Linked DNA regions of Pelodiscus sinensis. The protein of the gene in region 1 interacts with the protein of each later gene in a biochemical or structural test. Links are inferred from orthologs where the notes say so. Each region holds a gene or a part of one and is shown on either strand. Other genes may lie near its edges.

Region 1 (7,980 bases):
ATTTGGAGGACAAGAGGGAAGAGGAGTCTAGCCACTGATTTAAACAGGGAAGGCAAAAAAAAGAAAGAAAAGAGAGAGGGAAGAAGCTGGATTAATTGGGCCTCCCAAAGCTAGCTGGGTTAAGTGCAGCTTTGTGTGCGCAGCACTTCATAAGCCTGGATACTTCATAAAAAAGAAAAGTTAAAAAGCGTGTGAGTGTTTAAAACAAGCCTTGGGGAAGTGCTGAGAATCTCCCTGCCTACTCACAATAGGCTTTAAATGCTTCTCCTGGAGTCTGTTCCTAGCTCTGTGCACCCCACAACAACCGCACCTTAAACACCCCCCCCCTCAATAAAATGAGACCAAATCCACCCACCAAGCAAGCGCAGCAGAACGCAAGGGAAGGAGTTAACTCGACTTCACTGTTTGTTTGGGGGGGGAAGGAATGGACAGCACGCTGCTCATCCCACAGCCAATTACACCACCACCGGTGAGCCAGACATCCTGGTGTCTGCAAGGAAGTTCTCAGGGCCCTGTGGCATTGCTGCCCAGTGACCAGGACTGGTGCCAGGGGCCACCATGGCCTGCCACCCACATGCTGGGGATTCAGGCTGCTCAGACTGAGGAAAAAAAAGCCACCTAAAATAAATGTGGTTTAGCAGTCTGGAGGGGCAAAGTCACCACCGCCTGGTGTATCTTACAGGCTGCTGCAGATACGTTTGTTCGATGTATACAAAATCCAATACACAAGAGCCAGTCTCGGGGTAGGATTCTGACAACAAGCACGGTCTCCGTTCACACACCAGGCGCTGGCTATTAGTTTGCTGACCTTTTGTCAGCATTATTCCTGTAACCAGTCCCCATCATTTAGTCTCTGCTCCCAAACCTGATCAATTTAGGAACAAATACGTTAGGAAGTAGGGTGTATTTCTGCAACGAGCACTTTGTTCTAATTATTGGGCCTTGCCCCAGCTTCCATACTTTCCCATTCAGGCTCTGGTCCCAAAGTCCTGGCCTGGTCAGACCTCCCTGTGAAAGTATGGGGAGAGGTGGAGGGAGCAAAGGTAATAGGATCGGTCCCCTAGTGTACGTTTCAAAGAAGGTATTACAAAGCAAAAAGTATGTTAAGTCAAACTTAAAAGTCACCAAGAAGAACAATTATTTAAATCTATAAGAAAGCAACGTGCAGTGTCTACGCTCTTCCACAGCAACCCCACTTGGGTCAGATTTCACAGCATGGTTAGACGGCTGCATGCCTTTAAGGGGAAAGGGGCCACCTAATCGGGAAACCCCCGAAACTGTAGGCAAATTCCCTTCTCCTCCCCCCTCCCCCAAAAAAATGAGGTGCCACCTACCCTGGGTGCTTTTCTTTTGTATTTGTTACTGTAGTCGAATTTCTCTTTCATCTCATCCAAGAACTGGCCCAGCCTGGCTTTCTCCTCTTTCCCGGTGTAATCCTGGCTGAGAAGGATATAGGCCCTCCAGTTAGCCGAGTCAAAGCCCCAGTGGCAAGTCCTGTTCTCCAGGGATTTATGAGAGTGGACCACAAATTTGTGAGGCGGGTACATGAGCCTGCAGTCCAAGCACTGGATGCAGGCAGCGCTGGGGTTGGTGTACAGCTCGGGCACCAGCAGTCCCTTGCACTTCCCGAAGCACTCGTGGTACACCTTGAAGCTCTTCTCCGTGAGCTCCAGCTCGAGGGTGCTGGAGAACTCCTTCTTGCAGTGGGGCGGGTAGGTGCCCCCGTAGAGCAAGGCGTTGCAGAGCCGCTCGGCGTCTGTCTTGGTGATGAGGCCGCAGGACGGGGCCGAGAAGGGCAGGATGCCCATGACTTTCAGGATCTCCAGCTGGTCGGCCGTGCAGCGGGAGCAGTAGATGTGCAGCTCGTCGCACACGGAGTTGATCTGCTGCAGCGAGAAGTCCCGGAGCACCGAGTTCAGGATCTGGGGCAGGCAGAGCCGCTTCTCGCCCCCCACCACGAAGCAGGAGATGGTCTCCCCTTCCAGGATGGTCTCGCACCGCTCCGTGGACCGGTCCGAGGGCATGAAGAAGGGGCCCGGCATGACCGGCGGGGGCTGGATAGGGGGCAGGTGGAGGACAGGCTCCGCGGGATCTTTGCCATGGTCCTTCTTGTACATCTCCTGCGCCCAGCGGGCGGAGAAGGCGGCCGGGCCGCCCAGGGAGCTCATGGAGCTCAGGTGAAACTGCTCCAAGGTCTTCTGCAGTCCGGGATGGGGCTGGAAGCTGCTTCTGCTGACAGTCTCCATCTTTCGGCTCCTGCGGCCCCTCCCGGCCCCCCGAAGCCACCCGCCCCCCGAGCAGGAAAGCGCCCCGGCGGGCCCCCTCCCCGGCTCCGCGCCCGCTACAGCAGGGGAGCCAGCCCCGTGGGCTGAGCGCCGCCCCGGCCCCCTCGCCCGCCGCCCCGGCGGAGCCACCAGCGCCCAGCCGGCAGAGCCCCGCGCCCCAGTGCCGCCCGCCCGCCCCCTGCCCCGGGCTCGCCCGCCGCCCCGCCGCCCCCGCAGCACGCGCTGGGCTCGCCGCCCCCAACCTCCCACCCCCCCGCTAGGAAAGTCCGGGCCACGCTCCAGCCCCCGGGAGGAGGGGGCGCTCAGAGGCGCGCGGGCTGGTGCGGTGCTGCAGCGGCCTCCCGGCGGTCCATAGCCCCCCCTCCTCGCAGCAGCAGGCGGAAAGCTCGGTCTCGTGCAAGGAGAGGAGGGGGGCAGCCCCCAAAAAATGTTGCAATTTTTTTTTTTTTGCTGCTTTCCTTCGGAAAAGCCCCTTCCCAGCGCGTCCGCAGCTCCGAGGAAATGAGCAGGAGCGGCTGGGGGGGGGGTCGGCAGGCGGGGTGCACAGGGGGGGGCTCCTCCACTTTCCCCCCGCGGGGTCGCTCCCCGGGCAGGTTCCCTTCGCTTTCAGTTCTTCCGGCGCGGCTCGCTCCTAGTGGGCTGCCGCGGGGAGCTGCAGGCAAGCAGCGCACCTCCGCCCCGCTCCTCGCCCCGGCAGAGACTGAGCGCGGCTCGCAGCTGAGCTAATGCAGCCTGGCTCCCTCCTCCCCCCCGCACCCCTCCCCTGCCTGTCGGTGTCTGCCTCAGTCATTGAATCCCAGCCAAGAATGTGACCAACTCCCCAGGCTGGGCTCTTCCAGGAACGGGCGGCTCCTCCCCCCGCGCCGCGCTGCGCCCGGAGCCGCTCTGCAAAGGCACAGCAGACAGAAAAGCCCTGAGCAGCCAGGCTGGGGAGGAGTAAAGTGCTGGGTTCACAGACCTGCCAGCGAGGAAGTCAAGGGGCGGGAGGGCGAGGGCTTTTTTTTTTTCCCCCCCTCTGAAGGTTTTGGTTTCTGCTTTTCCCCCCCGTCCTGATTCTTCACCGGTTTTTTTTGTGACGGATGCACATAGGGGAGCATGCAACAAACACAGGGGCCATGCAATTAACAAAAAAAAAAAAAGTTGCAAAACATACCTGCCCCCTCTGTATGTAGGAAGAAAAATCGTTCTCGTGCGGCGAGGGGGAGGGGGAGATGTTGCAATTTTTTTCCCCTCGGAAAACCCCTCCCAATCTTTTGCACTTCCAAGGAAATCTGGAGGAGGGGACTGCAGGCGGACTAGTAGGGGAGTCCTCCACTTCCCCTCTTTTTTTCCCAAGAGGTCCTTGGCTGGGACGGGGAGCTATGTATGTAATTCAAGGCAAGTACACACATGACAAAACACACACACACACAACACACGGAGTTGCCCCTAACCTATATACGGGATAAAAATAAACACAAATGTTATGCATAACACTCATCTTCAAATGTAAAACATGTACATCTCACACAACCACAAAGCACAAACACAAGCCATAGAGATACCATGCACAAAACACATGCATTGTGTAAAACAAAATGTGCACACACATGCACAGTACAAACCATATGCCTAATGTAAATGCGTAACACAAATGGACCATATATGGATGGAACCCAAGCACAACCTATAACATAGCCTGCTGCAATATAAACACAGAGTAAAGAATCAGAGGGGGAAAACACATTTTCAGCTGAAACTGCAGGGGGATTTTTAGGTCAGAAAAATTAAATTTGTCCAATCAAAAGGTAATCTGGGATCTTTAAGGGCCATGACTAATGCAGGACCTCCCTTTCACATCTCACGCAAAAAGACCTCTCTGGGCCACCCTTGAGGCATTGCTGTGCACTGACTCACAGGAAAGAGCACCCTCTACTGAATCATTAACACCACTTCCTTCAACACCAAGATTTTCCTAACAAGTCTGCCATGCAATCCCTGACCCTAAGCAGCCCTACTTATTATAGGAGAACCTACCAGAAGATACCCATGTTCGCACGCACCATTTTTGCTCCACTCTTTCAGTTTCTTGCAGTTACAAAAATAAACTAGAACTAGAAGACATTCCCCCGAGTTCAAGACTTTTTAACAAATCTGTTTTCAATAAACAAACCCTTTTGGATGAAACGTATCTGGTTTTTCGAAGAATTATACTGCCGAAATTCAAAATGGAATTTTTTTGACAATCAAAATCCATTTTTAACTGCCTTTTCAACCAGCTCTAATACAAGAAAAGTTTCAAAACCAAAGAGAGAAACAAGGATTATTTCCCTCACCCCTCATGAATCAACATTTTAACTGTAACGTGCAGACAAAACCAGGCTGCATGCAAGCTGTGTTCAGAAATACTATAATTAATTATTATTTGTATTGCCATTGCATGTAGGACCTCCTCCCCCCTGCCTAGGAGCCCCAGGTGACCAGAACCTTGCTGTGCTGGATGCTGTGAAAACACAAAGCAAAAATACAGTTTGTGCCCCAAAGATCTTACAATCTAAGTATAAAACAGAACACAACAGGTGCAGGCAGATTGGGGAAGAGTGAATAGGTAAGGGCCAAATAGATACATTAAATTCGAAAGATAAATGCAGACACAAAAATAGGAGGAAATTTGGCCAACAATATGTACTGTTGGGGGAACACAATGCCCTTTGGAATTTGTATAGATACTAAGATTTTGAATTCCCTCTCCACTGTGATTCACTCCCTTACCATCTGATCTGGCATTTTCTGGGGCTCAACTCCAGAGATTTCAGTCTCTTGTAAATCATTCTTACTTTTGTCCAACCATTTTAATTATTTTAACATTTATAATTGTGGGAAAGCTCAGACCTCTATTATGTAGGCCAATATACAAACACATCTGAACGTTTCAGGCCCTGCCTTATATTGTCCTCACTGTGACACTGATGGCAGCAAAGTGCAGTACAGTGCACTAAAAAGGGCTGTCATCCCTCAGTTTGAATTAGTCGGGTTGGGCCCAGGGTTTCCATTCTCATGTCTGGAGTTGAATGAAGCGTCTGGGTTTAGAGTATTAAAAGAGAGTGCAAAAAACTTCATGTGACTAACACCTGTCATATCACTTCATGTACTACAGAAGGCAGTCTTGGTCCTTGACTGGTTCTCTTAGATGCTACTGCAATACAAATAATTAATAATAGGCTCTAAAAGTACTAATCAGTGCCCAGGGCCCTAACATGCTTGGTACTGTATATTTATTAATGAAAAATAATCAGTCCCTCATGCAAAAAATGTACAGTTTACTGGCAGAATTCTGAACTGTGTGACTAGTAATCTCTAAAGGCATTGATTTAAATTTATTTTAAATGCAAAATTCAATGGTGCCTGTTTGAAACTCTGATGGTGAATGTTACCTCCTGACAATATGAAGTGTGCATGAGATCTACCCACCCATGTGTCCTTTTGCTTTCAAATCATAAGGGGTTCTGGATTTGAAAACTAAAGACTTTGTCCCAAGCAGAGATTTGACCCCAAAAGGAGAGAAGTGCTCTAGAGATCTCACTAGAGAATTTATTTTATTTGGAAGGTACCCAAATGCTACAGGGATGGAACACAGAATAATACTCTTCTGACAAATTTAATTGCAATTCCAGCTGGTTTTAGATCCATTAAGATCTAAGAGAAAAATCCAGATGTATTCAAACACCAACAATAGAGTCCCTGATCCCTTTAAAGATACACACACACACACACACACACACACACACTTAGAAGGAAACTTACTAAGGTTTGTTAGTGTATGGTTAAAAAACAACCATCCCCACCCCCCCACAAGGCTTATTTGAAGAGAGGCAGCTCCTCCCAATCAAGATGGTGTCTGCCACTCAGATATCCATTGGATCATAAGAACATAAGAACATAAGAACGGCCGTACTGGGTCAGACCAAAGGTCCATCTAGCCCAGTATCCTGTCTGCCGACAGTGGCCAGCACCAGGTGCCCCAGAGAGGGTGGACCGAAAGACAATGATCAAGCGATTTGTCTCCTGCCATCCCTCTCTAGCCTCTGACAAACAGAGGCCAAGGACACCATTTCTATCACGTGGCTAATAGCCTTTTATGGACCTAACCTCCATGAAATTATCTAGCTTCTCTTTAAACTCTATTATAGTCCTAGCCTTCACAGCCTCCTCTGGCAAGGAGTTCCACAGGTTGACTACACGCTGTGTGAAGAAGAACTTTCTTTTATTAGTTTTAAACCTGCTCCCCATTAATTTCATTTGGTGTCCTCTAGTTCTTCTATTTAGGGAACTAATAAATAACTTTTCTTTATCGGCCCTCTCCACACCACTCATGATTTTATAATCGTGTAAGGAGCTGTTTGTGGGCTGGCACTAACTGGAGTTCATAGAGGAAAGAGAGGACCATACAAAGGAAAGGGAGAATGATCTGGTGGCTAAGGCACAGGGCATCTGGGTTCTATTTCTAGATCTCCCAGGGACTTCCTTAAGTTTTGCCTTAGGGCAAAACTTTTTATCTCTTTGTGCCCCATTTCCTCATCTGTAAAATGGGAGCAATGCTGATTCCCTGGGAGCAGGCAGGCCTGAATTAACCAGTGCAGCATTATCATAATCACTCGCCATTGACTGCAGGCGCCTTGCCAATAAACTAGGTGCCATTTGAATCTCTCCTGGGTGGCCGCCCAAGCACTCAGTTTCCAGGGAACACTGCAGGGCTTCCAATGTCCACAGTGCACAAGATCCCAACATACTCTAGTCAGGCCTGGCCAGGAAGACTGAGGGTAAAATTAATGTGTGTGTGTGTGAGCTGCTCAGGTACTACACAACTGATGGCCATAGAAAGGCTGATAAATAAATGATTTAAAGAGCCTATAGGAGTTAGGCAAGCATTGATTTCTCAAAGATCTGTCATGGGGGCGTGGGCACAATTTCCTTTAGACTGCTTTGGAAGTCTCAGCTGGTTAATATGACATGCCCTTAACAAATAGAGCCTAAGATCACCAAAAACGCTGATTGACTTTAAAGGCAGCAAGATCAGGCCCTGAATCAGAACTGATCCTACTGAGGCTAAAGGAGACATACTAGTGTAAACACAGCATCGGGGCCTAATTCAGAGTCTAGCGAAGTAATGGAAAGGCTCCCTCTGACCCCAGCGGGCTATGAACCTGGGTTGAGGTGAGATCAGAATCAGACAGCTGAGGAGAGAGGAGATATTGACTGCAAGGGAGCAGTTGTGTTGGAGGACAAGCATTTCCCTGGCTCTTCCCCTCTACAGATAAATCACGGGGTAGAAGGAAACTGTGTATGTCCTCCTATGAGCAGTTTACATGCCAGTGGTAACCCTGGGTAAGTCCATTCCGTGACTCAGTTTCTCTATTCTCACAACTGTAGGTAGTGACCCTGCCCTGTCTCAGAAGGAGGATTAGTTCCATGAATGGGTGTAACACATTTTGAGATCCTCAAAAGACAAGCAGCTTTAGAGAAGGGGAAAGGATTAGTATCAAATTGCTAAACGCTGTGGTTTTTCTTAACAGGTTTAGGCATTAAAAGGCTGGCATTCGCAGCCCTCACAATACAGTAAAACTTCCGTTTGTCCGTCTCCCAGAGGCTTTGCTGAGTTAAATAGCAGCAGGGAGGTAGCAAGGGGGAGACTGACCGGGTGCGGTGGGGAAGCGGG
Region 2 (6,909 bases), on another chromosome or scaffold:
AGGACTGTCTGTACTCTTGGTACTACTGAAAAAAAAAAACCCACCACCACACGCTAATCCCATCACATGACCTGCAGCAATTCTGTTTAACAAATTAACAGTTACAAATATTTTGGCAAAGTAAGCTTAGGTATTGTTTGCCTCTAAGCACAGTTGACAAGTCATTACATCCAATCAGAAAAGCAGAATTTACAACTCACTTAGCAACTCAGTCCTATAAATGGATGCTTTCAATTAGAGAATTTACATATACAGCCCATTAAGACAGTGTTAATACATCTGAAAACCTAAAATATTTGTACAATAACTCAAGTTTTATCCTGCACTGTTTTTAGAAAGAATTTGGAAATCTCTTCTCCCTCTGGTACAGCGCTCAAACTCATCACCCTTCAGACATGTTGCAAGGTTTGTTCAAGCCTTTCTTTTGATAAGAGATGAGAAAAGTTTACATCTCTCAAACTTTCAGCAATACTGAACATTTGTAAGCTCCAATTAAATTCAATGGTAACTACAGGTGCTCAGCACTTTGGAAAGATCGAGCTGACATAAGAGGATTGAAAAAGATCCAGCAGGGCCTTTACTTTGGAAATTCTCTTTGTATGAGCAAATTAAATCAACAAAGCGGGTGTTGGGGAGGTTGGAGTTAGAAAGAAAAGAAAGACGTCAATTTAGACAGAACTGAACTCTTACAAATGTAAGCTTTTCAATTACCCTATGACCTTATAAACTTTGCTAGAATTGATTATTCCTACTATAAATTTGACATACAACATCTTTAATTCTTGATAGAGAGGACAAGACAACTCAGTTTAAATTTCAGCACACCATTTTTGATCTGCACTTCCAAGTAGGGATGTAAAACAGCATTTAATCAGTTAAACATACCATTTAACTGGTTAATCACTTAAACGGGCTGCTCTGGACAGGCAGGAGCTGCTCTGGCCTTGCTGGGCCACTGGTTAACTGGTAACTGATAAGCATCGCCCAATAAGTGTGATGTCCACCAGTTAACCATTGACATCCGCAGCGGGTTACTCCCAGATCCTGGACTAGCAGCGACTAAGCAGGGTTGCCTGCCGAATTAAGTAGAAGCCAGCCAGGAAAAGGCAGCCCCGCTCAGTCCAGGCTCTCACTAGGACCAAACCCCACTGCAACTTTAAAAGGCAGTAAGAGCCAGGCAGCCTATCCCCTGACCCCACTGCATTTTTAAATTGCAGAGCCACTGGAGGTAACCTCATGATGAAGTTAACACCAAGATAGCAAGCTTCACAGTTTAAGATAAGCAGAGTAATGTCTCCAACTGATTTTTTTACCTCCCTTGATACTTAAAGGCAGATAATTTTGTGAAAGTAACATGTTAAGATACACTGAAAAGCTAAAGAGCTAAATACAACTTGAGAGGAGAAACAAAAATATGTGAAGGAAAGCCTACAAATCATTACAAACTGGAATCTTATTGGATGGAAAGTTTCTCATTTTTACTTTACACATGCAAAGCAAAAAAACGTGCATTTTGCTAAATTTGCTACTATAACCACCCCACAATTAACAGTCTGTCAATTTTAAACAGTTGGCAGTATAATCAAGCTGTCCTCACTGCAGCCTATTTTGTTAAGAAGGCAGAAGTTTAAGATTTTAAAGATACACTAAACAAATGCAAAAATCTAACTGGCTTATCTTACTGTAAGCTTTTTGATACAAAATATATCATCATTATTTGTATACTCAGGAACTGCTTACTATAATCTGAAATAAATTGCATGAGTGATATGTACATCTCAGCACTCACTGAGGGGAGTTTAAGAGTTTCCAGTCATCCACAGAACAGAAACAGAATTTGGCTGCAGTTAAAAGCAGCTCTTAACTGTTAAAAACTCTTTTCTAAAAGCTACAACCATGGTACTCTCCTGCTTCACAAGCCAACATGAACTGAAAACAAGGTATTCTACATTTGAAACTGGATCTCAAACAACCGTCCTACAGACTATGAACTAATGAATTCACTCAGCTGTTTTTCCTCACACATATGCTACACACAGCACTACAAGTGAAAGTTTTGCAAAATTGCTAAAACAATCGCTATTTGCAGTCATTACAGTGCATCAATTATAGCACCCACTGGGTATGATGCTTGCTTACATCCATACAGTTCAGTTACAGGAGAATGAAGAGGATGAGCAGTCACTGGCTGCCAACAGGTGAGGGAGGGTTAACCCCCTAGGAACACTCACTGAAGTTAAGGCTGAATCACTTTCCCTCCCCCTATTTTCAGCTCACAATTTTAGACAATACTGGCTCTCTCTCAGGCAGTAGTTTTCCACTTTTAATCTGTGTGAAGCTCTTCGGGAAAGTCTAAGATCGAGTTTTTCCAAAGGAGGGTGGGGTGGGCAGCGAAGTAGTAATACGCCCACCTCTAACCCCACACCATCGGTCCCCAGAGAGAAGCTGCCACGGGCCCACCCAGCCACCCCTCCTATTTATATCCTGAGAGCAGGGCCCGGCCTAGGACTGCCAACCCCACTGAAGCTATTCCAGGCGACCCCCCCCCCCGCACCCCCAAAAAGGGGATGTCACGCCACTGCCGTGGAACGCCCCATCACAGCCTCCAGGGTCGCTTTCCCCCCCGTCCCCGGGAGACTGGTGCTGATTCCGGGAGACTCCCGACCAAGCCGGGAGGGTGAGCAGCCCTGACCCGGCCGCTCACCCCCACTAGGGAAGAGGCGAGAGAGACTCGGGCCCAGCACCAACCCCCCACTCCCCGCCGGCCTGAGCCTCCGCCCCAAACCTCGCCCCCCCTCACGCGAGCCTCCCCCACAGCCACCGCCTCCCACAACAAAGGGGGGGGGGGCGCTGCCTAGGCCGGCGCGTATCCCTCCCCCCACACACAGGCAGCACCCGCCGGGACTGGCCACCCCGGCCCGGCCGATGCCAAAGCCGCCCAGAGACCAACCTCTTCGCCTAGCTACGCCGCTACCACCTCCTCCTCCTCTCCCTCTCGCTGGCTTCCTCTTTGCCGCCGCCCACTCCGCCCGCCATTGGTTAACGAAGGCGAGGCGGCGCACGCCGCAAGCCCCCCCCTGATTGGCTCTGCCTTGGGTCAGTTGTGAGGAGAGCGGGCGGCGAATGGCTAAACGAAGGCTACGTCCCGCCCAGCCAAGCGATTGGCGCGCCTGCCACCCAATCGGCGAGAAACGCCGTGGTGGAGTCCTCGCGACGGAGAGCGTGATCCGCGCGAGGGCCACGGCACTCGCTGATTGGCCGACACTTGTGTCGCTCCCCGCCGGGGGAGGTGGCGCAGGAAGGCGAGCGAATAAAAAAAAAAAAAAAAAAAAAAGGCAGGGGGGAGAGCGCCGATCCTTCCGCCAAGCGGCCGCTGAGTTCGCTTAAGAAAGTAGTCGCCTTCCGCGCGGCAGCGGATTCCAGCAGCGAGAAATAGTCCCGTCCTTCCCCGTCACTAGTCCAACCACCTCCCATCCCACACGCCTCCCCCTGCAGCATGACCCGGCCAAGGGTTAAATGAGGGACCATGCACGGGTTAAAAGCCTCCCCCAAGCACCCCCCCAGATTCAGTGCAGTGGGGGGGGGCTCTCATCTGCTTTACAATCTCCCCCCCCCCCCCCTCCACACACACCTGTGGTACCAGGGCCACAGCACCTCACAGACCTGTGGCAAGTGCCCATCCTCGTGGCCCCTGCCCTCGCTCCGGGAGCCCACCACGCTGGCAGCTACATGGCCCCTCCGCAGGCAGCCCTCCAGCGTCCCATCCAGCGCCCCGCGAGGTGGCGAGCGTGCAAATGCATCACCCACGGGCGGTCCCACAGGGACATACAAGCGCCCTGCAGGAGAGGGAATCAGGATTCAGCCAACTCCACTCAGCTAGGGACCACCTCGGAGCGCGGGCATTGCAATGCCCGATCCATCTCGTCTCTGCTGCTGCACGCAGCCAGATGCTGGAGGTGTAAATCTCCCACTCTTGGCAGAGTGCAATAATCTGCCCTCTTCCTCATCCTACTCTCCATTTAAGACTGGTACAGCCCCCACAACGTGAGGTTTAACATCCCTGTATTTGTCATTAAATATGATAATCTTGAAAAACGACTAACACGGTTAACCCTCTGAGTAGGATAATCGTGGCTATTCTTGGTATCCAGAAGGGAGTGCACCCCTTTCTGAATCTGGATTAAATTACATTAAATAATATAATGTATGTTGGACAAGATTTACATTAGGAAGCTACAGGTGAAAGGCTCTACAACTAATTAATAATGCCTGAATGTGTATGGTCTCTCCCCCCATAAACCCAAATGCAATGCCTTCATGAATGAACCTTTCTGTCTTGAAAGATAAATGTATTAATTTAAATTTTGACCTTTTGTAAGCTTGCATACACAGGGAGGGTCTGACGCTGGACAAACAGGCAAAGTCTCCCACAGACTGCTCTCAAAGTCTGGTACACCCTGCTCTTAAAGAGAGCTCTCATTAACCAACTACAAAAGCTAAATATTAAAGTCAAGGCCCGCTCCTGTATAGCATAAGCCACCAATACCAGCATGCCAATCAAACAACCAAAGTGAGATCATAGTACGATAATCCACAGTGACTACTACTATTCATTGAACCAGTGGAGGGAACCTAATTCTCCTACACTTATGGGAGTACCCTCACCATGAGGCTATAAAGTCAATTGCTCTGGCTACATCCTCAATATGTAATTGCTTGTACAAACTGGAACAGCTCAAACAGAAGAGACTGAAACAGACCCACCCCTGAATAGCTAATAGCCAGGAGATTAAGGCACCTGCACTCAGATCTTGGATATCTCAGGTAAATCCATAAATCAGAGATGTCAACCTTGGTTTTATGAGATGAGGGCCATAACCATTATGCTAGTGAATACTTTGGGTTCTCTGTCTAACGTATATTTTTATACATCAAAATTTCAGTTTTGTCCCAGTGCAGAATGGGAAAACTTGAAAGTTCAAAAATATATTTGGACAGGAAACAAATTTGCCCTAATGATGTGTTTGGCATTTAATCTCTAATCATGTGTTTGGCATTTAAATTCACACCTATAGATCCCCCACAGAGTCTGCTATTTCAGCTCTGGGAGGAACTGACTTGGGGGTGGAAGGAAAGCATGCTGTTACTGTTTCCATTCCTGGCACTGGGAGCAGATTGTGATCTAATGATTACAAACAGCATAGCTAAAATGTAGAAACATCCCTGTATGGGTCATATGTGAGGATGAACTTGGTATGTAGAGATATAAAGAGTCTCTACTATTTGAGGTAAAGAACCAGCTCTTTTACAAAGCAATGTCAGTGTCACAAACTTCTATACGTGATGCAACTGCTTGAATGTCATGCAGAGCCATACTAGAAGTTGTTCATCTGAGGAAGTGGGTTGTGCCCACGAAAGCGCATGATACCATCTATGGTTTATTAGTCTTTATGGTGCTACTAGGCTATTTGTTGTTTTTTAAGTTTTTCCAATTACAGACTAACTAGGCTATTCCTCTGAAGCTCTACACCAGGGCTACATCTAGACTGGCATGCTTTTCCTGAAATGCTTTTAACGGAAAAGTTTTTCGTTAAAAGCATTTTTAGAAAAGAGCGTCTGGATTGGCACGGACACTTTTCCACAAAAGCACTTTTTTGCAGAAAAGCGTCCGTGGCCAATCTAGATGAGCTTTTGCGCAAAAAAGCCCCGATCGCCATTTTCATGATTGGGGCTTTTTTGCACAAAACAAATCTCAGCTGTCTACACTGGCCCTTTTGTGCAAAAGTTTTGCGCAAAAGGGACTTTTGCCCGAACGGGAGTAGCATAGTATTTCCGCAGAAAACACTGATTTCTTACAGTAGGAAGTCAGTGCTTTTGCGGAAATTCAAGCGGCCAGTGTAGACAGCTGGCAAGTTTTTCCGGAAAAGCGGCTGATTTTTCGGAAAAACTGGCCAGTCTAGACACAGCCCAGGTGTGGGCAATAATTTTTGCCCAGGGGCCACTTCAAAAATTTTTGAAGTAGCCCCGGGCCCCCAGAAGGGGCAGAGCTTAAACAGGAAGGGCTGGGTCTACCCACCCCCAGACCAAAATTGGTCTGGGGGGTCAGGGAGCCCCTTTGCCCCCCCTTCCCACTATGCTCCCATGTCCTGGAAGAGGCTTGGCATGCTGCCCCACCCCGAGGCCAATCAGGGCCTGGGGGCAAGGGAGCGCAGGTAAGCCTCCTCTCACCCTGCAAGGTGCCGTGGGCTCCTGTTAGGGCCAGGGCAGGGGAAAGGAAGCTTCACACGGTTCCCCAGGCCCTGATTGGCCTGGGGGCCAGGGAGCGCAAGAAGCCTCCTCCCTCCACCGCGAGCAGCGTGCAGCGCTTCAAAGCACCACATGCTGCTGGCAGGGTGGGAGGAGGCTTCATGCACCCCCTCTCCCCCCGCACCCAAGCCAATTAAGGCCTGGGGGCGGAGGGGGGGGAGCACACAAAGGCTTCTCTGCTCTGCTTCTGCCCTGCGAGCAGCGTGCAGCGCTTTGAATCGCCATGTGCTGCTTGCAGGGCAGGGACAGAGCAGAGAAGGCTTCAGGTGCTCCCCCACCCCAAGACCCTAATTCACCTGGGGGCGAGGGAGCAGCAGGGCCTCCGCAGACCGGATCCAGCCTGTGGAGGCCCTTTTGCCCACCCCTGCTTTAGACGCAGTTAATTTGGCATGTTCCTTCTCAAAGACTAAGGGCAGGTCTTCACCAAGGTGACGTGATTGTATGGATTCACAAAAGGATTCTTCCACTGACCTAGTTACATCTACACTTGCATTGGGTCAGCTTAACTATAGCAACTGGTGGTGTGAATTTTCCAAATCCCTGAGTGACACAGGTAGTTTGCTCTAAATGTTAAAGGTATATCTACCAGATGGAAACTGTATT

Evidence for each region.
Region 2: the proteins of SKI (region 1) and SMAD2 form a complex in vitro, tested with the Homo sapiens proteins (4 studies listed by BioGRID). The link is inferred for Pelodiscus sinensis from reciprocal best matches to the Homo sapiens genes SKI and SMAD2.

The regions. Positions count from the first base shown.
Region 1 is NC_134733.1:19,049,910-19,057,889, reverse strand, and holds the start of SKI (ski oncogene), read right to left. Parts: upstream 3,009-7,980; 5' UTR 2,247-3,008; coding exon 1,335-2,246; intron 1-1,334. UniProt on the Homo sapiens protein: May play a role in terminal differentiation of skeletal muscle cells but not in the determination of cells to the myogenic lineage. Functions as a repressor of TGF-beta signaling.
Region 2 is NC_134716.1:117,161,611-117,168,519, reverse strand, and holds the start of SMAD2 (mothers against decapentaplegic homolog 2), read right to left. Parts: upstream 3,018-6,909; 5' UTR 2,951-3,017; intron 1-2,950. UniProt on the Homo sapiens protein: Receptor-regulated SMAD (R-SMAD) that is an intracellular signal transducer and transcriptional modulator activated by TGF-beta (transforming growth factor) and activin type 1 receptor kinases.